3 linked regions of the Saccharomyces cerevisiae S288C genome follow. The protein of the gene in region 2 interacts with the protein of the main gene of each other region in a biochemical or structural test. Each region holds a gene or a part of one and is shown on either strand. Other genes may lie near its edges.

Region 1 (7,022 bases), 200 kb from region 2:
ATATATATATTCAAATAAATTATAACGTATTAAATAATATGTGAAAAAAGAGGGAGAGTTAGATAGGATCAGTTGGTCAACTCATGGTAGTATTCGTCATAATGTTGTACTTCACTAGCTATTTCTGTAGCATCAAAATCTGATGTGTGTTTGGTGTCCCTAATCAAATCAGTGACTTCGTTCAGGTTCAATTCTAAAAAGTTTTCTAAGAACTGGCCAACTTCCGTATTTTCGTGATTGCCTTGTAAATTGTTCAAGACATATGACCATGTAGCTTTCTTATTGGCGTATGCATATATGTTGACGTCGACTGCGCTGTGACCATGCGTGGTCCAGCCAATTTGGGCCCTAAATGATACCATGTCATTCAGTTTGTCTTGGATAGCATTTGCGTTGTCATCCAAATGAATTAATGTTTCTAAATCGCTATCCGTGTAATCGTAAATACCCAAATCTTTTTCCAGGATCTCATGTTTGATGAAATTTTCTATTTTGCTGCTTGCGCCCTTATGCTCATGAACAAAATCTACTAGTTTTCTTTTCAAAAACTCACCTGAATGGGTGGCGTTGGCGAGCACCTGTGGATACCAGACATACTGAGGATAGCTAGCAGTGACTTGTCTTGAAGTGACTAAACCACCCGTTTCATGATCCGACGTAGAGACCAAAACAGTCTCCGTATCGGAATTTTCAGCAAACTCCAAAACGTATTGGAATGCTTCATCGAAAGCCAACACCTCCCTTACCTGCGAAGCTGGATCGTTTTGGTGACCAGCATGATCAATTCTGGAGCCTTCCACCATTAAGAAAAACCCATTAGAATCTTTGTCCTCATTGGAAGCTTTTTCCAAGGCACCCAAAGCCACCTTGACTTGTTCCTTAAGGGAAGGATACTCCTTTTCATCTCTGTCAATTTCAAAAGGAATGTCGTTATCTGCAAAGAGACCCAAGAAAGGTAAAGTAACGTTTTCACCGTGGCTTTTCAACAAAGAATCAAAATTTTTACGGTCACCCACGTACTGCCAGCCATTAGATTGAGCCTCATCGATTAAATCTCTTCCATCTTTTCTAGCACCGTGGTGACCATATGGAGAAGCCTTTTCGCCTTGAGGGTAGAAATGGCTCCTGCCGCCACCCATGAGTAAGTCTACTACTCTCCCCAGAGGATATTCGCCTAACTGGTGCGTAGCGATAAGATCTTCCTGCCATCTGTAATCAACATGTGAACTGAATGAAGCCGGAGTGGCATCTGTGATTCTTGTCGTAACAACAAGCCCAGTGAGATAACCTGCTAACTTAGCCGCCTCGAGCACTGTACCACAAGGTCTGTGATGCGGATCAACACCGATGGCCCCATTATAGCTCTTTAATGCACATGCAAATGCGGTGGCGCCCGCAGCTGAGTCAGTGACTAGTGAGTCCGAGGACCTTGTTCTCGAAGACCCGATAAAATGCTCGTCAAGTGTCAGGATGTCGTCTATAGGTAAATCATTAACATGCTGGTTGAATGATCTTGCCATGGACAAAGACGCAGGTCCCATCCCATCCGTCACGAAGAATATGACATTCTTCTTCTTGTGTGATGCAGAACGTAATGCAAAACTGCTTGGAAATGCCAGTTGCACTAAAACCAGCAACAAACCAATACAGACCACAGTGGATACTATTATCTTTGATCTCTTCGAGATCCGTCTCTTTTTAGGACGAGAGCTCGAGTCAGATCCAGGAACAAGACGTGTCTGTTCGCTTGGTAATGTGTGAGTCATCATGCTGCTAATGCGCGTTCAAATAATGTCCCGTATGCTGATATGTAAATGTTTATGTAGCCACTTGCTGGCAAAATGTGGAGCACGAAAAAATATAAACGTTTAGATACACTTCTTTCTTTATATACTAAAATCCCTTTACTTTTCCTCTACGCGCGAAGCTTATCGCTATCGTCAATGCTGCTATTCATGTCGATGCTGCTCTTCCGTTAGACGCGCCTTACGAGGGGTGTACAAAGAGGACATCCGCTGCTGTTCTTGCCACTCGTTCGTCAGTTTTGCCCTCAACGCTTCACATTTCTTGTCAATCTGCTCTTCCGAGAGCGTTTCTTCCTCCTCCAGTCGGTCCCGTAGCTCGCTAACTTGTACTTCAATCTCACGTTTCTCCATATGAGTCTCTATCTGTTTCTGCACAGCAAGAGGCCTGCTTGCCTTGTCATGGCTGGCCTTTTTGATCGCATTTTGTCGTTGTTGCCGCTGCTGTTGACTACCCTGTGGTCTGCGCCTATTGTTGCTAGCAAGTGATCGCTGCACGTGGCCCGACGTAGATGACCCTTTTGCCGACTTGAGCCCTATTCCGTTGTACGACATGACTGGACGGTGATGCAGTAGCTGTTAACCGTCGAATGGTATTGTGTAGAGCTCAAATTAGGATTACACAGATTATAATACCACACTTATAGTGCCATTCTTGAGGTCTTACTTGATTCTTCCTTGCCTTTACCCGCACGCTTAATATAATTTTTCCTTCTTATCTGCTACGCCTTCTTCTAGTAGGAAAAAAAAAAGAAATTTGGTGAAGAAACAGTCTGAAAAGGAGATAATTTGCGATTTAATTCGTTTATACATTTTATGAATCTATAATACTGGAAGTGATATCCATATTCGCAAGCAGTTCCACTCGAAAGCATGGCCCTCTTTCTCAGTAAGAGACTGTTGAGATTTACCGTCATTGCAGGTGCGGTTATTGTTCTCCTCCTAACATTGAATTCCAACAGTAGAACTCAGCAATATATTCCGAGTTCCATCTCCGCTGCATTTGATTTTACCTCAGGATCTATATCCCCTGAACAACAAGTCATCTCTGAGGAAAATGATGCTAAAAAATTAGAGCAAAGTGCTCTGAATTCAGAGGCAAGCGAAGACTCCGAAGCCATGGATGAAGAATCCAAGGCTCTGAAAGCTGCCGCTGAAAAGGCAGATGCCCCGATCGACACTAAAACAACCATGGATTATATCACTCCATCTTTTGCTAACAAAGCTGGTAAGCCAAAAGCTTGTTACGTCACTTTGGTGAGAAACAAGGAGTTGAAAGGTTTGCTAAGCTCCATTAAATATGTGGAAAACAAAATTAACAAGAAATTCCCATATCCTTGGGTTTTCCTAAACGATGAACCTTTTACTGAAGAATTCAAGGAAGCAGTCACCAAAGCTGTTTCTTCCGAAGTTAAGTTTGGTATTTTGCCCAAGGAACATTGGTCATATCCTGAATGGATTAATCAAACCAAGGCTGCTGAAATTCGTGCAGATGCTGCCACCAAATACATATACGGTGGCTCCGAATCTTATAGACACATGTGTCGTTACCAATCTGGGTTTTTCTGGAGACATGAATTATTAGAAGAGTACGATTGGTACTGGCGTGTGGAACCAGACATCAAGTTATACTGTGATATTAATTACGACGTTTTTAAGTGGATGCAAGAAAACGAAAAAGTTTACGGCTTTACCGTTTCTATTCATGAATATGAAGTGACGATCCCAACACTATGGCAAACGTCCATGGATTTCATCAAAAAGAACCCCGAATACTTAGATGAAAACAACCTGATGAGTTTTCTTTCGAACGATAATGGTAAAACATACAATCTGTGCCATTTCTGGTCAAACTTTGAAATTGCAAACTTGAATTTGTGGAGGTCACCAGCCTACAGAGAGTATTTTGACACTTTGGATCATCAAGGTGGATTTTTCTACGAAAGATGGGGCGATGCTCCCGTTCATTCTATTGCTGCTGCTTTGTTTTTGCCAAAGGATAAAATCCATTATTTTTCAGACATTGGTTACCATCATCCACCTTATGATAACTGCCCATTGGACAAGGAGGTCTATAACAGTAACAACTGTGAATGTGACCAAGGTAATGATTTCACTTTCCAAGGTTACTCTTGTGGTAAGGAATATTATGATGCTCAAGGGTTGGTAAAGCCAAAAAACTGGAAAAAATTCCGTGAGTAGAAATCTTGGAACATACTGTTTCTTTGTTTTGACTTTATACTTTCTATTTATATTTTATTTTTATAACTGGTTAAGTACACATAGGACTGCGTATCAAACATATAAGTGAGGCAATCCACATTTTTTTTAAAGATTCGAATATTTTTATTCTCATTAGCGTATTCCGAGAATAGTTCGAAAAAATATAAGGTATATCAAGAGTTTTTACAAGTGAGAGGAAAGAGGAATAAGCTATAAGCAACAAAAGCGTAAAAAAATTAGCTGAAGACATAGAACTATGGATGTTCTCAAAGAGGTGTTGTCACTAGACCAAGATAAATTTGACCAGCTGAAGGAAACGAGCCGAGATAAAACAAATGAAACGGATGATCCTTTTGAAAACTATTTGAAGGATTGTAAATTTAAAGCGCCTTCAAACAAAGATCAGTCACCATTTGCTAAACTTAAATCATTACAGGAAACTCATTCTAACAATGAAGCGGCTATTAATATAATTATTCCTCAATTGATTGATTACTTAACCGAATTCACTAATAGGTTATCAAATTACACACAAGATTTAGACTTCATTAAAAAAAAGTCCAATGAATTACAGTCATTGCTCGAATACAACTCCACTAAACTGGCACATATCTCTCCTATGGTTAATGATTTGATGATTCCTCCTGAACTCATTGATGACATCATTAAAGGGAAGATCAATGAAAGCTGGCAGGATAATATAACATTCATAGCAGATAAAGAAGAAATTTATAACAAGTATAGGTCCAATAATCTCGATCAAGACAACAAGGACGCAGAAAATTCAGCAATGCTAGCACCAAAGGATTTTGATAAGTTATGTCAACTCCTGGACATCCTAAAAAATGTTATTCTAGAAAGGTCGAAAAGACTTATTATTTCCAAAATCAAAACTTTGAGGAGTCATAACCCAGTACCATCGCAAAGGATACAAAACAAATTATTAAAAGTTCAAAAAATTTTCCCCTTCATAAGAGATAATAATCTCTCCTTAGCCCTTGAGTTAAGACAGGCATATTGTTACACAATGAAATGGTATTATAGAGAATACTTTTCTAGATATATCAGGTCATTGACTATTTTGCAATTTCAACAAATCGACTCGCAATTTGCATTGGGTAATGGCCTTTCTACAACTTCAGTGAGTGGGTTTAACAATTCACCATCATTGTTTTTCTCAAATTATCTAACTACATCCGCTTCAAATGCTTTCTATAATAAACTCCCTGTAACAGATGAGAAAATTGATAAATACTTTCAGATAAAGAAAAGATTGAACATTTTAACACAAGAAGACAATACGGTAATGGTATCCCAAATTGCAGAAAATAACACAACGAAAAACTACATTGAAATTGGATTTAAAAATTTAAACCTTGCAATTTTAGATAACTGTACGGTGGAGTACCATTTTTTAAAAGATTTCTTCGCTATGAATGGCGATAATTTTGAGGAAATTAATGGTTTATTGGAACAAATATTTCAACCAACTTTTGATGAAGCCACAACATACACTCAACAACTGATCCAATATAATTATGACATTTTTGGTGTATTAATAAGTATTCGTGTGGCCAATCAATTACAATTTGAATCAGAAAGGAGAGGAATACCGTCTATGTTTGATAGTTTCTTGAATGGTCAATTAATTCAATTATGGCCTCGATTTCAGCAATTGGTCGATTTTCAATGCGAGAGCTTACGAAAAGCGGCAATAACTACAAATGTGGCAAAATATGCCGGCAACTCAAGCACATCCAATAGTAGCCCTTTGACCTCACCTCATGAGTTAACTGTACAGTTCGGTAAATTTTTATCAAGCTTCTTGACGTTGGCAATAACACATAAGCAGTCCATAGACGAAAGATCTGAACCCTTATACAATTCCATCATTAGATTAAGAAATGATTTCGAAACAGTCATGACAAAGTGCAGTAAAAAGACGAAATCACCAGAAAGATTTCTGGCTACAAATTACATGTATTTATACAATAACCTACAGCAATTGCATCTACATTTAAATATAAATGACTCGGATGCACAAAACTACAATTTTGATTCTGCTGAAAATGTTGGTACGAAAGTTGCGAATGACGACGATAATGATTCAAGCGTACCACTAATAATCAGAGAGACCGAAAATCATTTCAAAACTTTAGTTGAAGCTTTCACCAGAAATTGATGAATGTAACGATTGTATAAGACATGGAGCGTATAAAGTATATTTTTATGTAAAATGATCTTTATGATTTCTTATTTTGTGTGGAATATAGTCAAATGTTTAACGACCTACCATTATATAGTCTGTCTCAATTAAAATCCTTCAGGAACACCTTTTGCAGGTCTTTGACTTAAATCAAGGTAAATACCGCCGTTTTTGAACCCAAACCACTTGAATCTCACTTGATCGTCACTATCCTCATTTGTCGTTTCATCACGCTTGATATCTGACCTTCCCTCCTCCTTAGAAATAGGATCTTGAATCCGCTGAATAATTTTATAAGCTTCCACATCAGAATAAGGCACACCAGTCCTTGGATCAAAGTACTGACATTCTTTATTTGTGATTAAACATTTTTTTCTTATACCATTGGCTAAGAAGACACCCGTTGGAGGCTGTGTTTTAATTTTGATTTCCAAATCCTTATTTATCTCTGTGTTGATTTGATGGACTATTTTCTTATCGTATTCCCCAAAAGATGGGAAATTTGCCAGAGCTGACAGATCAAGTGATATATCTACGGTAGGAGACGGTACTGAAGACTGAGGAGGTGATGGTAAAATGGAGTGGAAAACAGTTTTCATATCTTGTGGACGCTGAGTGGCGGATAACCCATTTGTGTATGACCATCGATCACCAAATAAGTTTGTGTTAAAATCTTTTAGATTTGGAGGAGCATTAGGAAAATCATAAAGTGTAACAAAGTTCCTTGAGGTTAATTGCTCAGGCCCTTCGTAGGTCTGTGTTGATAAAGAGTTTTCCGCGGAAGATTCATC
Region 2 (7,337 bases):
AGGATTGTATAAGCCCGGCCATTGGTAAACAGAGCTACTTCTTTACTTTCATGAAATATATCTCTTGGTGGTTTCGTCAAAAAATTGTGCATACCAGTATGCAGAAAAGACGTATATGGGATACATATAAGTTTCGGACGTCTCTTTCTATAATTGTCTCTCTGTTGTGAAGGCTTCCTTGACGAAGATGAATCAGAAGTAGTTTTCTCTTTGCATAATTTACTTTGGTGTCCTCTCTCGAGATTGGGCACAGTAAGCAAATTTATACCTTCTAAATCTTTGGCCAATCCAAGAACAGCATCTTGTTCAGTTGACATAACTGAGTTTGGCTAGAAAGAAAACTTTGACATAAAATCATCGATACCTACAACTGGCGCTGTAATGCAACAATGCCATTATAAAAGTAAAACATGCTGCGAAAATTGCGGAAAAACTGGAAAAATCAATAGTGGGGTAATCCCAGTTAGTTTGACACAATAATTTGGTGATTTTGGTGGAATAATCATTATTTGTGAGGATACACCAACGAAAAGAACCTTTTGTGGTAGTATGGTCCAACAATTGTATTTGCAGGTTGGTACTAACAACCTCTATAAGTAGACGATACAAGAGTGATCATATGGTAGGACACTCAGCTCAGCACAGATCAAAAAGCAGCTTAGTGTCTCACCTACTAATACTACTTATCTTTATAACGATTATTATTGAAATGTGTTTATATAATAAAATTTTTAAGAACCAAAGGTCGGATGATATTAGAGACAACTTTAACAATGGCGGACATCGAGTTCCCAGTAATGTCCAAAATCATGGAACCCATATAAGAGACGAAGCCTTTATATCAGGGGTCTATTATTCCAATTGGTCCCCATACAAACCGAGGTTTCATTTCCCTCACGACATAAACTTGAAGCAAGTGTCTCACATTTACTATGCATTTTTCAAAATAAACTCTAGAACTGGTGGTATAGAAAACACGGATAGTTGGTCTGATCTAGAAATGAATTTGTATAAATCGCTGGCAATTAAAAATTCAGAACTAATTAAAGAAAGCTCGAACAATAGTGTCCAAAACATCCTACCCTTAGGTTGCATTGGTGAACTATTTTATTTGAAGAATACCTGTTCTGATAAGAAATTTAAAGTTATCATGTCAATTGGGGGCTGGTCTGATAGTGAAAATTTCAAAATCATAATTAAAGATGATAAACTCTTACAAAATTTTGTTGATTCGTCGGTGGAAACAATGTTCAGATTAGGATTTGATGGCATTGATCTAGACTGGGAGTTCCCTGGTAACAATGAATCAGAACCTCGCGGATATCTGAAACTGGTCAGAATGCTGCGATTAAAACTAAACAGCCTCGAATCCCAAATATTTGGGAAACGTACTGAAGATCATTTTCAATTATCTATTGCGGCACCTGCATTCAAGGATAAATTATTTTACTTGCCAATCACAGAAATTGATCAATATGTTGACTACTGGAATATGATGACGTACGATTATTATGGCTCGTGGTCAGAAACAACAGGATATCACAGCAATCTATTCAGTGAGACGGAATTGAATGGAAACTTTGCCATGCATTATATGATCGATAGATTTGGCGTCAATTCTAGAAAATTAGTACTGGGAATGGCCGCCTACGGAAGAAGTTTCCATATCAAAGATAACAAATTCGAACCATTCAATCAAAATACTGTATTAATTAACAAAATTTTCAAAGGAGTGGGCAAGCCCACTAAAGAAATAGATAAAGCTGATGGCAAGGAGGGCATCTGGCCTTACAAAAATTTACCAAAGATTGGTACAATAGAACAATACGATCCAAAATATGTTTCAGCATATTGCTTTGATGAAAAAAATTCAATATTTATCAGTTATGATAACACTAAATCAGTCAAAACTAAGGCTGAATATGTGACACATAACAATTTAGGCGGAGGCTTTTGGTGGGAGTCATGTGGTGAAGCTTATGCAAATGAGTCAAGGTCGTTGATAAACGCATTTAATGAAGGCTTGCACTTTAATGTGTCATCAAAACCATCAATATTTCAAGATGTGAGAGTTAAAAAATATTACTTGAATAAATATGGCGATGGCGGATTTTTATCTCCATATTTAAAGCATTTGGATTCAAGAAAGCAATGAATACGAATGTGGGCGTATATAATAACAAAAAGTTTGGTCTATTTATTATCCACTCCGTATATGTATATACATATATACAAATTTCGTTTATTAATGTTAGAGGCTTATAAAAAAAAGCTTGACTTTTCCTTATGTTTCAAAGAGAGGATTTTTGTTGTTATTTTCATAATAGCATATCCATTCTTGAAAAGACTTCAAATACACCAGCAATAACTTCCAATTGTAAATCATGACCAGGATTGTTTTCTATCTCTTCTTTAACTTCCTTGTTTAAATTAACGGAGACACCTAACTCAGTTTCCTTTTCTAAATCAAATGGGTATTGCGAAAATTGTGCCATTATTTCTTCAGCTCTACTAATTGCCTTATCTCTCTTCTCATATTCCAACGTAGTCAGGACATTCTCCAATACGTTTGCCCCATATGATCCACATATTAAAGCTAAAGTTCTAATGATTTTGAAAGATGTTGTCTCCGGAAAATATTCATTGTAACTTAATTCCATGTTCCTCGATACGAGTACAGAAAGTACTCTGCGCTTAATGGCTTCTTTGCAGCTGGCGTCTGCAATGGGGTGTGTCGCCATGTCAAACAAAAAGAAATTTTTCATTTCTGTTCTCAATACACCTTTATCGACCAAACCTTTTGCCAATCTTTCCCTTACTTGTTTCAATTGATAGTTGATCTTTAAAAGGTTCCATGTTTCACCACTTAAAAGATCAATCCAGTTAGAAATTGACAAAGGTTCGTCGTTTTTCATCAATTGCAAAGTTTCATCCAGTAAAACTTCCCCAGTTTTGGAACTGTCAATAACTTCAATCAACCTTTCGGAAAGATCGAACCTTTTCCTGGCGGAATCATCTAAGATTCTGATTTTACCTCTTAACGCTAATTCTATAATTATACAACCACGCAAAGCATATGAAATACTATCATTCCAAAACGACAAATATCCTTCTCTATCTCTTAAGCCCATCAATAAGACTTCTTCCATCAACGTTAACGTAGGGATATTGATGTTGTCTCTCAATTTCGATTCTTCTGGGTCATATGCAATCTTTTTGTTTGTTCCATTGTCATCATCCCCGTCAACAGCAATATTTGCGATTTTGTCTCCTTTGGTATTGTTAGCAGAAGAATGAATGGAGGAAGTATCTCCAGAATCCGCCCTATTGACTCTACGACGTTGTAAAGTAGACATGATTTTTGCTTTGTATTTTTTTAGATAGTTTTTGTTTGAATTCTTTTACGTTATCAGATCAAAAGTTGTAATGAAAATATAGCCAACAATGAAACTGCTAATTTAGCTCTATTTGTTAGCGTGGAAATTTGAAATTTATTTTTAATCTATAAATGCAGCAGCCCAAACCGAAACAAAAGAATAAGTGAGTTGAACAGAGTAAGCAACGGGCCGATATAGAACTGAAAAAGTCAACGTACCCAGAAAGCAATTAACTGCGACACAAATAGATGTCAATGTCCAAAAAGGATAGATAAACAAGATTACGATCCAAGGCAGGGATCTAATTGTTTTTAGGTAAATGCGTACCCATTAGCCTCTTTTTTTCAGTAGTAGTTGACTGCTCAGGAAGTAAAAAAATGAGCCAGAATTGATCATTAAAAACGAAAAAAGGGTAACTCTTCGGTGTATTTTTTATTATTATACCATAGAGTACTGAAATAATGTTTAATTTGTCAACGATTGAACTGATGAACTAGGGATATTACCTCCTGTTTTATAATTGTTGCTAGTTTAAGAATCGGCGAGAGTTATTTTGTGCTTGAAAACTGTTTTTGATTCAAAAAAAAAATGGGAGCCAAGACGTCAAAGCTTTCCAAAGATGACCTGACATGTTTGAAACAATCCACCTATTTTGATAGAAGAGAAATCCAGCAATGGCATAAAGGATTTTTGAGGGATTGCCCTAGTGGCCAACTAGCTAGGGAAGATTTTGTTAAGATATACAAACAGTTTTTTCCATTTGGTTCTCCTGAAGATTTTGCTAATCACCTTTTTACAGTTTTTGATAAAGACAACAATGGATTCATACATTTTGAAGAGTTTATCACAGTTTTGAGTACAACGTCCAGAGGAACTTTGGAGGAAAAACTGAGCTGGGCTTTCGAACTTTATGATTTGAACCATGATGGATATATTACATTTGATGAAATGCTAACCATTGTGGCGAGTGTTTATAAAATGATGGGGTCTATGGTTACACTTAATGAGGATGAGGCAACGCCCGAAATGAGGGTAAAGAAGATCTTCAAGTTGATGGATAAGAACGAAGATGGTTACATTACGCTGGACGAATTCAGAGAAGGTTCTAAAGTCGATCCCTCTATTATTGGTGCCTTAAACCTTTACGATGGCTTAATATGAAAACTTTGTTTTTGCTTCTTATGGATTGGATGTTATAACAGTAGAAGTAATTTTAGGATAATTTTAAATAAAAATAATATTAAAAATAATAATAATACTAATAATAAATGAGAATAAAATGTTGATAAATGAGGGATAAGGTCTATTCATACGTCTCATCCAAGAAGGAGAAAATATCAGAATCTTGAGTTTTAAATAGATTAATTATTGAAATTCCAATCGAATATGGAATTTCTTGAGTATCTCTGGAATGTGTTATCGGTTTCATTTCATTGGATGGTATCAAAAACCTTTTTAACGATCTGTTATTTATATCACGCACGATCACCCATCTTACTTTAAAGGCTTTGCCATATTTTTGTTCATCTTCCCATATACTGGTGTCCAAATCCATTTTCAAATCCGATACCATTTCTGCAACGCCACAGAATCTTCCTGATGTGTTGATTGAAAAAAATAAAAACACTTTGGCTCCCGAATTAAGCTTTTTATATGCCTCAGATAGCCTTTTGTTGCCGAAATGAGTAGACGACCAAATTCCGTTGTAAAACGACCTTTTGACATGCTTCAAAGACGAGGACTTTATTACAAAAAATCTTGAGTTTTCTGGAATATTTAACCAAGGGGGAATAATTGCAGCACTTTTTCTTTTATTAATTTCATTGAAAGTTTGTTCTTTAGTTGACTGCTGCAAATACCTTGGTTTGGATAAATATTCCCTGTAATAATTATTATTGCTATTATCAGATTGGTTGTAGTCTCTAGAAAAGGAGAAATGCCGATTTAAATTTGAGCTTGTCAATGGAATACTATTAATCTGGTGTGTATAGTTTTCATGAGTGATCTCTTCTTTATTTTCTTTCTTGTTAATATCATTTAAAGCTGTGACATCGTTCTTTAGCTTTGGGTTTGTTTGTACTTCAATATGAGTTCTCTCCAAGGAATGGATCAACCCATCTAGTTCTCTTAAAGAGTCTTCAATTGTCCTGTCATTTCTCTTATTTTCTTTCCATTCAGAGTTGAAGTAAAAATTTGGGGGACCTGTAGACCAGATTTGATTCATTTTTAGAGCACAACGCAATACTTACGTCACACCAGCCGTAGACGATATCTTCCTTTCTTAACGAAATAGTAACAGAGGACACAATCTGAAAACTTCTTTTGCGATTCATAACCAACAGAAAATTTTGGAGGAAAACAATGTAGCTGTATAAATATATATATATATATATGTATGTATACTTATTTATTTATATATATATCACAAAAGGCTACCAAAAAGATTAGCCGCCGAGGTACATCGTGAGGAGTGATATTCTGGGGAAACGGGTAGCGATTTCGTGTCTATTTTCGGTCACCAAGTCAACGTTACTTACTGTCGTATAACCAAAGTACAACAATAGCAACAGTTCCTAACATTCTTCCATGGATACGGAAGCATTGGCCAATTATTTGCTACGGCAGCTTAGTTTAGATGCGGAGGAGAATAAGCTAGAAGATCTTCTCCAACGGCAAAATGAAGATCAAGAGTCTAGTCAAGAATATAACAAGAAATTATTATTGGCATGTGGATTTCAGGCCATTTTAAGAAAAATTCTGCTGGATGCTAGAACAAGGGCAACTGCAGAAGGTTTGAGGGAAGTATATCCTTATCATATTGAAGCTGCAACGCAGGCTTTTCTGGATAGTCAATGAAGGGGTATTTTTAAGCCTCTTTATCATATACTCTTTTGTTCGTAATAGCAAATAACTCGGTCTTATTAACGAGAAAAAGTTAAAGCATCTTCTGAATTTTTATTATATACAAGTTATGTAGTAAGGCGCCACTTAGCACCTAGAAAATATGATTAGCGTTCCGTAAGCTGGAGACCATTTTCAACGCATCGTGTGGTGCATCTTTATTCATAACGAAAAGTCCTTGCAACTGGGCGGTACTTACGGTGATATCCAATTCTTTAACACTATTTACAAACTTTTTGCATATATCAGTCTCACCTGGGTAAAATTTCATAAACATTTTTTCTACCTGGTATGGAGTTGCGTTACCAACGAAGACTTTGTAGTCAATACGACCTGGTCTCATTATAGCCGCGTCTAGCTTTTCAGGATGATTGGTAGTCATGAATGTAATAGTTTCTTCAGAAGATGTGACGCCATCCAGGGCATTCAGTAAACCGCTAAATGTTACGCTAGAATGAAAACCTTGTTCACCAGTTTGACTTCTTTTGTTGAACGCCGCGTCAATATCTTCCAGTAATAGTATGCTCCTTTCTGGCATGTTATTCATTAAGTGGTTTAATCTGTCATCTGTTAAATTATTTTCGGAGAGGTTTAAAATACAAATGTTGTAGTCTAATTCGCCCGCTAAAGCCTGGATAAAGCTAGTCTTACCAGATCCGGGAGGGCCATAGAGTAAATATCCCCTGCGATATGGGATACCCCTGTCAGAGTACCATTTGCCGTTCTTCATAAAATCATAAACGTCATCGAGAATACCCTCTTTGATGCCACTGTCCAAAATGACGGAGGGCAGCATCCTTTTAGCTTTTGGTTGACCAAACTTTCTCCATTCAGGGCCGAAAGAAGTGTAAATAACAGTCTTGCCCTCAGTAGTCTTCAGGGCTATGTCTTTAGCCTCGTTCAAAATGTCATCGAACAAATGTTTGTCACGGTACAGTGTAGTTAAGGTTACGGTCTCAAATGGTGACCCGTTTGCGATATCTATCATTTTTGCGGACCTTTCTCTTTTAATCAGGATAAAAGCACCCTTATAACGAATCCAATGATTTCCCGGACCCG
Region 3 (8,496 bases), 280 kb from region 2:
GAACATATTTCAAAAGATAATAGAATTTGGTTGGGAGTACTACCTACAGAACGGTATGTTCTGGAACTGTTATTGCCGTTTAATTTATTTCGACACTTCTAGGTCATATTTGGACAAGAGGCAATATATTGTCAGAAAAATATGGCCCCAAATAGACAAAAAATTTGCACAGAGCGTCTTGCCGTCTTTAACAGAATTCTGTGAGTCATACTTCCCAGAGGAGATGGATACATTAGAGGAAATGTTTACTGAAGAACCTTAGCCAAAAGGCATTGTCATTTATTAAAAGGTATAAATATGTAAATGTATACTTAATGACCGTTAAGAAAAACTACTAGCCTCATCACTCCCGCAGATCTCTATAATTGTTGTTTGAATACTTGATACGGTGGAGTGGCAAGGACAGTCTGCGCAGTCCTAATATCGATATTGATGTCTTCGATCAGAGCTTCCTTAGTAGTGTAGTTCAATTCGGGTCTGATATGACCTAAAATATTGAACTTGACCCTGGCCCCATAAAAATCATTTTTAAAATCATGTATAATATGTAATTCCATGGTTTTGAAATCATTTCCGTAGAATGGATTTTTCCCAACTGAAAGTACCATAGGAAGTACGGACAAATCATCGTTCGCTTCACTTAAATATTGACCGTAATTATAAACCACAGTTCTTCCATCCCGCCTTGTTTCCACCGATAGTTCTTGACCATCAACAGTTTTAATGTGAGCAAACCCAAAGTAAACCCCTAAATCCAAATCGTTGATACCTTTAGGTAACTGATTTATAGGTACATTGGCAGTGGGAATACCCAATTCGGCGGATCCGCGGCCAAATCCACATACAATGTCACAATAGTCAGTAACAAGCGGGAATGGTGGACCTGGTTGCGCAGGTATTGGCAAATCGACTTCTCGTTTAAAAGTATCAATTATATCTGTATTCGTATTTCGGTTCATTAAGAAAGTACCTGCTAACACTAGCAATAACGAAACATAAATAGTCCACGTAAACATCAACACTTCAACAACACGTGTCTGTGACCGCTTCACGGGTCCAAATTACCACTTTCTAGAACATTGTCTTGTACGTCCAATAATAGTGTTACCAATGCTGACAGAGTATTAAAGCAACGATTTGAATTGACGCATTACCCTCCTGCATAAAGGACTACAAATACATCCTCTCTTATAACGCAATTGCAACATCTGAAGTGCAGTGTGATCAAGATATTCAATTCTCTATTAGAGTAACTTAATCATGTTTCACATGATCAGTATTCATTGTAAAACCTCTTGAGTGTGATTCGTTGCCAACTAACATAAGCGTGCGGATTCTTTAGAAAGTGGGTGTGCCGACCCTGGGAAAGATTGCATAATGTGAATCCTTAATGACTTACCCATACTCTTCATTAATAACCTATTTAGAAAAAGAAGAAAGGCTGTTTCGGAGCTCCTTTTGTGCTGTTTGCAAACTGTCTATTTTCGCATCAAGTTTTACCCATCTACTACTTTATTCGCTTTACGGTAAAAGCGAACACGACAAAATCACCTATCATCTACGAAGGGCCTTTCGAAAACAGAAGAATAAAAAGACAGGAAAAGCATCTGTTTAGAATTTTATAACTAATTTGGGGAGGTATCTGTAAAGTAATAGACAGGACCGGAAATAGTGTAAATACTCTCCTTTGTTTTTTTAGTTGTACCACTTTGAAGAGGGCTCGAGATTCACGAACAAAATGCAAAGGTTTTCACTAGTCACTCACAGATCATTCTCTCACTCCTGTGTGAAGCCCAAATCTGCATGCTCTTTGGTCAAACCAGTTCATCACTTGGTGAAAATTGATAAGTCAAAGTTATCCCCTAGATTTCCAGAATTGAAATATGACAAAAGTGATATTAGGTCACCTGGATTTAAACCAAAAGACACTCATGCAGATAGACTCAATGACCATTACCTTAACACTTTACAATCTGATTTGTTATTGATTAATTATTCACATAACGCTGCGGTGGTAAAGGGTCTAAAACAAAGAGCGTGGAGTGGTGATTCGCCATACCACTTGAACAGACCACCGAAAAATCCTCGAGGTTCGAAAGCTCAACTACCTGACATTCATCCTATCAAATGGAGTAACATTCCTGGGCTAGAAAGTGTTGTAATAAACTGTTTTGTTAGGGAAGCGAGAGAAAATCAGCTATTGGCTATCACCGCTGCGTTACAATTACAACAAATTACTGGATGTAAACCTCATCCAATTTTTTCCAAAAATGATGTTCCAACCTGGAAACTGAGAAAAGGTCATCAGATGGGAGCTAAAGTCGAACTAAAGGGAAAAGAAATGTCTCAGTTCTTAAGCACATTGACCGAAATCGTCCTACCAAGAATCAGAGAATATAAAGGTATAAGCAACCAGTCTGGGAACAGATTTGGTGGGATTAGTTTCGGCCTGACGGCTGAAGATATCAAATTCTTCCCTGAAATCGATGCAAACCAGGACTCATGGCCTAAAACTTTTGGTATGCACATAAATATAAACACCTCAGCTCAATTAGATTACCAGGCGAGAACTTTGTTGAGTGGGTTCCAGTTCCCATTTTTCGGAGAGGAGAAATAAGAATACAATCTCATGGTCCTGGCCAGTTAGCCATGCTCTATGGCAGAAAGGCAAAGGGCATATATAATTTCCCATTCGTCATGTAAATATATAAACTGTACAAGATACTATCTCTCTCCATTTTTCAATCATATAGTTCTCTTTGGGGCACTGAGATGTCTACAAATTGTTATAAAATTGGACGTCTCTTACACAACTCACAACTCAACTCTGTATAAAGATTTTTAGGAAAGAAAATGTACATAAAAGTGAATACTTGTTTAAAAATGAGAACAAAGATTCCTACGCAATTAAAATCTATTTAAAGATTTTCCTTATTTTTTTATTTCTTTTCGAATTTTTTAAGTTTTATTCTTATCTCCTTTGACATTATAACTTACATTGCATCAGCTCAGGGTGGTTCAAACATGAGTGAGAGCAAGTTTATTGGTCTTCTTAGCAATCAATGCCACTCTGTCACCTAGGGACAGAGCCAAACCTTGTCCCTTTGATCGGATACGAACATAACCTATGACATCATTGGTTTTGGAATCCTTTTCGATACACAAGTTGGCTAGGGCATCTTCACCAAAGGACGACTTCGCATACAGATTACAACTTAAGAACCTACAATCATCTTCTCCCAACGACTCTGATGGTGTTAGAATACCCATATTAGTTCCCTTGACCAGTTCTCTCAAATAAGCATGCAATGTTGGTAGTTGTGATTTGACCGATATTTTGTTCTCCCACTCAAATGCATTCCACATGGTACGGAAATGTTCATCGTCAGCAGTGGCTGGTTTGATATAATCCATAATGTCAACATGAACGTCGTTTAAAATAACATAACGAGCATCTTCACCATGCGCACCATCATAAATAATATTACCGAAAATGACACCTGTGTCAGCAGAGGAAACTTTGACAGTAACAGTGAATTTGTGGAAGCCATGAGGAATCACGTTGGTCTTCTGTGGTGTGTCAATAATCTTCAAATCACCAAGAGTTGCAAATTGCACATGTAGGTTTTTCAATGTTTCTTTCGTTTGATTAACAAGAAGAACATCTAATACGACGTCAAATTGATTGTTTGTAATACAAGCCTCGGCGTAAACTGGATCAGAAAAGCCACATAAAGGTACTATCTTCTTCAGCTTCGAAATACTAGAGCTGCTAGTAGCGTGGATTGCATCTCCTTTCATTGCCAGTTGTAAATCTTCTTCAATACTATCTTTTTGCACATTAGTAGAATCCACACCAGCAAATTGCCTGAAAGAAATCGGCGTATCAATTGGTTCGATGTTTTTGCAACTGTCTTTTAATGCTCTCTTATGCTTGTTCTTCTTTGCAATTTCAATTTGTCTCTTGAATGAGGATTTGGTGGTGTCCAGGAATGCAACCTCCAGAAGTTTAACTTCTTCCTTCTTTTCCTCAGGATTAACTTCATCCAATAAAATAGAAATAGATGTCATAACTCTCTCTAAAGAATCTTCATCAATTTTTTTCTCCACCAAAGAGCTTTGACCCACTCTTACAATACTAACTAAAATTAGTAAAGCTTCCGCCTTTAGAGCATTGATGACAGTTTTGTTCTTGGAAACGTTTTCGAATTTTAAAACAAGTTTAATGATGGTGTTGGCCAGAATGGCAGCTGTGTAGAAATCACCACTTAAAACAAACCGGCGAATTGGAGGTCTAGAATCACGTTCTTCATCGGTAACTGACTTTTGAGAAGTCTTCACATCGAAAGCGCTTTCAGTGGCATACGTACCGTCTGGTAGAATAACTGGACCAGTTGGCTTGGCGGTAGCGTCAACCTCATTTTCTTCGGTGTGTTCTTGGTTTTGTGTTAACTTTTTGATTTCTGATTGAAGGATAGGAACTTCACCTACGCTGTTACGAATGTGCTTCCAACAATGTTGTATCTCACTTTCTCCTTCAGCATACTCACCCATAATCCATAATGCACCGCGGTAAGCTTTAGCAGATCTCACTTTGTCTAGCGTTTGAACCATGTTTTCAAGGATATTGGCTCTAAGTTGTGGGTATTTTTCGATCACTTCTTTGATAAAGGCAATGATACCACTGGCGGCAACCGAGTTTAAATCACCGATGAAATCTAATAATAGCGAAACAACACTTGCTGCCATTTCTACAAAGTTTACAGCCACGGTACGAATAGTTTTTATTAACAATTGTCTGTACTGCATTGCCTTGTCTTGATCTGGGTTATTTACGGTTGTTTGCAGCTCTTTCTTCAAAAGCTGAACAACATCTTCAGCATTTCTGGATGTGGCCAAGTCCATTGAAATATCAAGCGCCTTTGAACGAACGTCTAAATCTTCTGCATTCAAGACTCTCAAAATATCCAGGGTTAACTCTTCCAAAGCACCTACGTTATTAGCATTGATGTCTTGAATACGGTCTAGAACAATTAACTTAATGTTATTATCAGAAACCTTGACGGCCAAGTCAATCAATTTGTTAACCGCAGGAACCAAGACATTTGGATTGGCAGACAACACAGTTAGGGCTAATGCGGTCTCGAAGATGACTTCATCGGAAGTCGTGGTCGAAAGCAGTTCCATCAATAATTCGATATATTGGGCTTTCAAAGCAGGGGTCCTGTTTGCATCTTGTCTGATAAATTGAACAAAGACAGCTTGTAATAAAGGGTCTAGGTTTTCTATATCAGCAATATTGTTCTCTAAATAGTGTAAGGCATTTTCACGATCTAATTCAGCTAACCCAATAAATGCATTTCTTTTACATATTGGATCAGTTTCAGCTACTATGAACGAATTGATGATTTCTTTAGCATCGGGAAGTAAATGTTCGCTGACCTTGAAAATGGAGAAAACTGCTAGGATTGCATACTTACGAACATATGCATGACGGTATTCCAAGCACGCTAAGACAGAGGGAACCATCTGTTCTAAGAGTTCGGCCTCTCTCAATTTCGTTAAAAACCTTAATGTGTTACCTCTAATATATTCATTAGGATGTTGCAAATCGTGTTGAATGGCATTACAGACAAGAATCATTTCATGTCTCAATTTTCCATCTTCAGCTAGTTTGGGAACAATTTCCCAGTAGAAGTACAAAAGCTTTTTTAATTCCTTATTTTTAGAAGGCATGACAAATCTTATTATGTGCATCAACAATTCAGGCATTGGATTTCCTTCCAGCATTGTAACTAAAATTGATTTCATCGTGTCAATTTTTTGTTCATCAGATCCCTTTTCAAGAGCTTTCTGAAAATCGGTACTCGAGTAAGTCTCCATACTCGGAGAAGGATCGAAAACCAACGTGTACGCTGGCTGTGAAGAAAGTGAAGTCATAGGTGCACTCTTGTTCAATAGTTAACTGTGATTACTTTTGTTTATTCTCAAGGCAATCTTAACTGAGTCTTAATGAACGTCAAATTTCACTTGTCGAGCTGTTGTTTTCTGATTTCTTTCTACGTGTAGCGAGTACACGGAAAGAAAAAAAAAACGAAGTGATAAGCTGGGTAATACTTTTCTAAAATGCTGTTCCATAAACGTACATATATGACATCTACAAAACTACAGAGAAGGATATCATTCTGGGTCTGAATCAGGGTTTGCCACACGCAAGCCATGCCCCAGAGAATAGCTGAGGTCTACCACATCAGAGTTCGTTGTGGAGACAGAGTCCTGACGCGATATATTACTTCTAGCATTAGCATCACGATAATCTTGAAGAGAGATATGTGTAGGAAGCTTTTGTCTGTTCACGTAATCATTATCCAGTGTTCCACTTCTCATTCTGTTCTGAGACCTTGTGTAGTAGCTGACTACCGTGTTAGATCTTGACACGGAATCAACAGAACCGTTTTGCCCTCTTTTTTCTCGTAAAGGCGCCATTATATCATCACTGTTATATGCTTCATCACCGGGTATGTCCTTGAGGTAGTCTTCGGCTTGTTCTGCGTCAGTGCCTTCTTTTTTTGAAATAGAGCCAGTTTCATTTTCCTTCCCTAACAATTTATGGAATTCCTTTGTGTGGTCAACATTGATTTTATTTTTCAGCCCTGTAGCGGTTCCATCTGATTCTTCATTTCTTGTCTCCAACGCCAGTAATTTCTGTTTAACTTTACCATGCTTGATACCAATTTGCTTAGAACTTGTCCTCAACTTGACCTTAATATTCTTGGGTTGAATCAAATTATTTTTTTGTTTTAGAGCAACCGGCAAGTTAGGAGGCGCTTGTAAAAAGTTAGAAGTCTTGTAATACTTTAGTCGCAGTTCTTCTACGTAACTAGAAACCAAAGGCACGGACTTTTCCGATTTGTTCGATACGACAGATGTTAACGGTGAACATTTGACAGATCTTTCGCTTGGGGCATCATGTACCGGATTTGGTAAATCCACCGTTGCAGGGATAGTAACTGTGTGTTCATTGAACGAGTGAGCAGCCGGCACTAAACTTTCTGAAATGGAGTTTAAACTGTTTAACTCGGATGTTTTATTTGATGATTTTGTGTTTCCGTTTGAGTCAAGAGCAGCCAAAACAGTTGATTTAGAGCCTTTTGATATAGAAAGTCCTGACTGGCTAGAGAAGTTTGACTTGGCATCATACTCACCAGATGATGCAGTGTCAAAAGAATGCTTGTCGGTTAGACTGCCCGTATCGTTTACACTATTTAAATAGAAACTAGGGCGATCTTCATTAACCACCCTAAATATTCTACGATGACTTGGTAACTCAGGCTCTTGTGTTGAGACGTCATTTTTTATAGATGAGCCTTGATCACTTGCGTAATTTATAAATGCTTTACTTTCACTATCCACAAAACCTTTTTCCTGAAGACCATCATCATCATCCTCGTTGGAAGAACCGCTATCAATCTCATTAGTTATCCGCAGAGGCTTTCTGGCGCTTGCAATACTTCCATCACTCCCAAGGTGCTCATTTGATTTATATGCAAAATCAAAATGTGCAGCTTTAAAACCACTAGATTCGTCTTTAGAAACTTGCTGAAGGCTTTTGGTGGATTTACCACTAGCCGATGTACTAAAGGAAAATTTATCATCCCCATCATCCAGATTCGAAGAAAATTCTTTTAGATGATCTGATTGTACTAAATTTCCGTTACTTGCTTTATTTACTTCTTCATTATCCACAATAAGTGGTTTTACGTAGCTTAAGGAACTCTCCGCGCTGACATTTCTCAAAATGGGAGCTTCCATGACATCTACTGGCAACTTATCTTGCGATGCTTTAGTATCTGAGTTTTCAGACGTGTCTAGGGATAGTGAGCTACCGGAACTTACCTTGTGTTCATTAATGTAATTTTCAATATCATCTACCAACTTTTCTGCTTCTGAACGCTGCCGCCTATGTTGATTGTGGGTGGATGAGATTGCAATACTATCCCGCTCAGAATCATTATTACTCTCTATTTCTTCCTTAGTAGTATTGTTGCTTATTGACGTTGTTATTGACTTCATGTCCATAGGCGGTGGTGGAGGCCTCGAACGTTTTATCTTGGAGAAATGTGCATTTGAATTTGCGCTTGTTGTGAAGGGGTTGGTTCTCTGCCCAATGATGTTGTTTTCTTGTAAATATTCAATTCCTTTGTGATCGTTTCCTGACGCTTCCTTGGACTGTGTTAATTCAAGAGAATCTCCTAAGGTATCCTCAGCATTCAAAAATGGATTAGTATTCTTTAATGTTTCCTTTTGTAATGGTGCCTGGATAGAATGGCTCCTGCTATGAGCATTCCTATTTGGACTTCTTGGCGGTATATCAGGGGCAGAAGTTTCAGCCGTCGAAGTTCGTGCGATATTTGTTGATTTCTTTATTGTAGAGGGCACCGATGGCTTTCTAACGGATTTTTCAGAGTCATTGTTTTTACTTTCAGAACCAAACCG

Evidence for each region. Proteins that work in one complex are often made in the same cells at the same time.
Region 1: the proteins of VPS74 (region 2) and KRE2 form a complex in vitro, tested with the Saccharomyces cerevisiae proteins (2 studies listed by BioGRID).
Region 3: the proteins of VPS74 (region 2) and SEC26 form a complex in vitro, tested with the Saccharomyces cerevisiae proteins (2 studies listed by BioGRID).

Annotation. Positions count from the first base shown.
Region 1 is NC_001136.10:1,418,482-1,425,503, forward strand, and holds KRE2 (alpha-1,2-mannosyltransferase KRE2), read left to right. Parts: upstream 1-2,675; coding exon 2,676-4,004; downstream 4,005-7,022. Other genes in the region: alkaline phosphatase PHO8, read right to left, coding at 69-1,769; U2-type spliceosomal complex subunit CWC21, read right to left, coding at 1,950-2,357; VPS52 (Vps52p), read left to right, coding at 4,282-6,207; VPS72 (Vps72p), read right to left, coding at 6,339-7,022. UniProt on the Saccharomyces cerevisiae protein: Mannosyltransferase that transfers an alpha-D-mannosyl residue from GDP-mannose into lipid-linked oligosaccharide, forming an alpha-(1->2)-D-mannosyl-D-mannose linkage. Required for the attachment of the third mannose residue of O-linked saccharides.
Region 2 is NC_001136.10:1,218,794-1,226,130, forward strand, and holds VPS74 (Vps74p), read right to left. Parts: upstream 3,357-7,337; coding exon 2,319-3,356; downstream 1-2,318. Other genes in the region: DXO1 (Dxo1p), read right to left, coding at 1-317; CTS2 (putative chitinase), read left to right, coding at 620-2,155; FRQ1 (frequenin), read left to right, coding at 3,966-4,538; PHO92 (mRNA-binding phosphate metabolism regulator), read right to left, coding at 4,681-5,601; WIP1 (Wip1p), read left to right, coding at 5,964-6,233; bifunctional AAA family ATPase chaperone/translocase BCS1, read right to left, coding at 6,373-7,337.
Region 3 is NC_001136.10:934,877-943,372, forward strand, and holds SEC26 (coatomer subunit beta), read right to left. Parts: upstream 5,941-8,496; coding exon 3,019-5,940; downstream 1-3,018. Other genes in the region: mRNA splicing protein PRP42, read left to right, coding at 1-262; FMN1 (riboflavin kinase), read right to left, coding at 360-1,016; mitochondrial 54S ribosomal protein uL5m MRPL7, read left to right, coding at 1,739-2,617; YDR239C (uncharacterized protein), read right to left, coding at 6,181-8,496. UniProt on the Saccharomyces cerevisiae protein: The coatomer is a cytosolic protein complex that binds to dilysine motifs and reversibly associates with Golgi non-clathrin-coated vesicles, which further mediate biosynthetic protein transport from the ER, via the Golgi up to the trans Golgi network.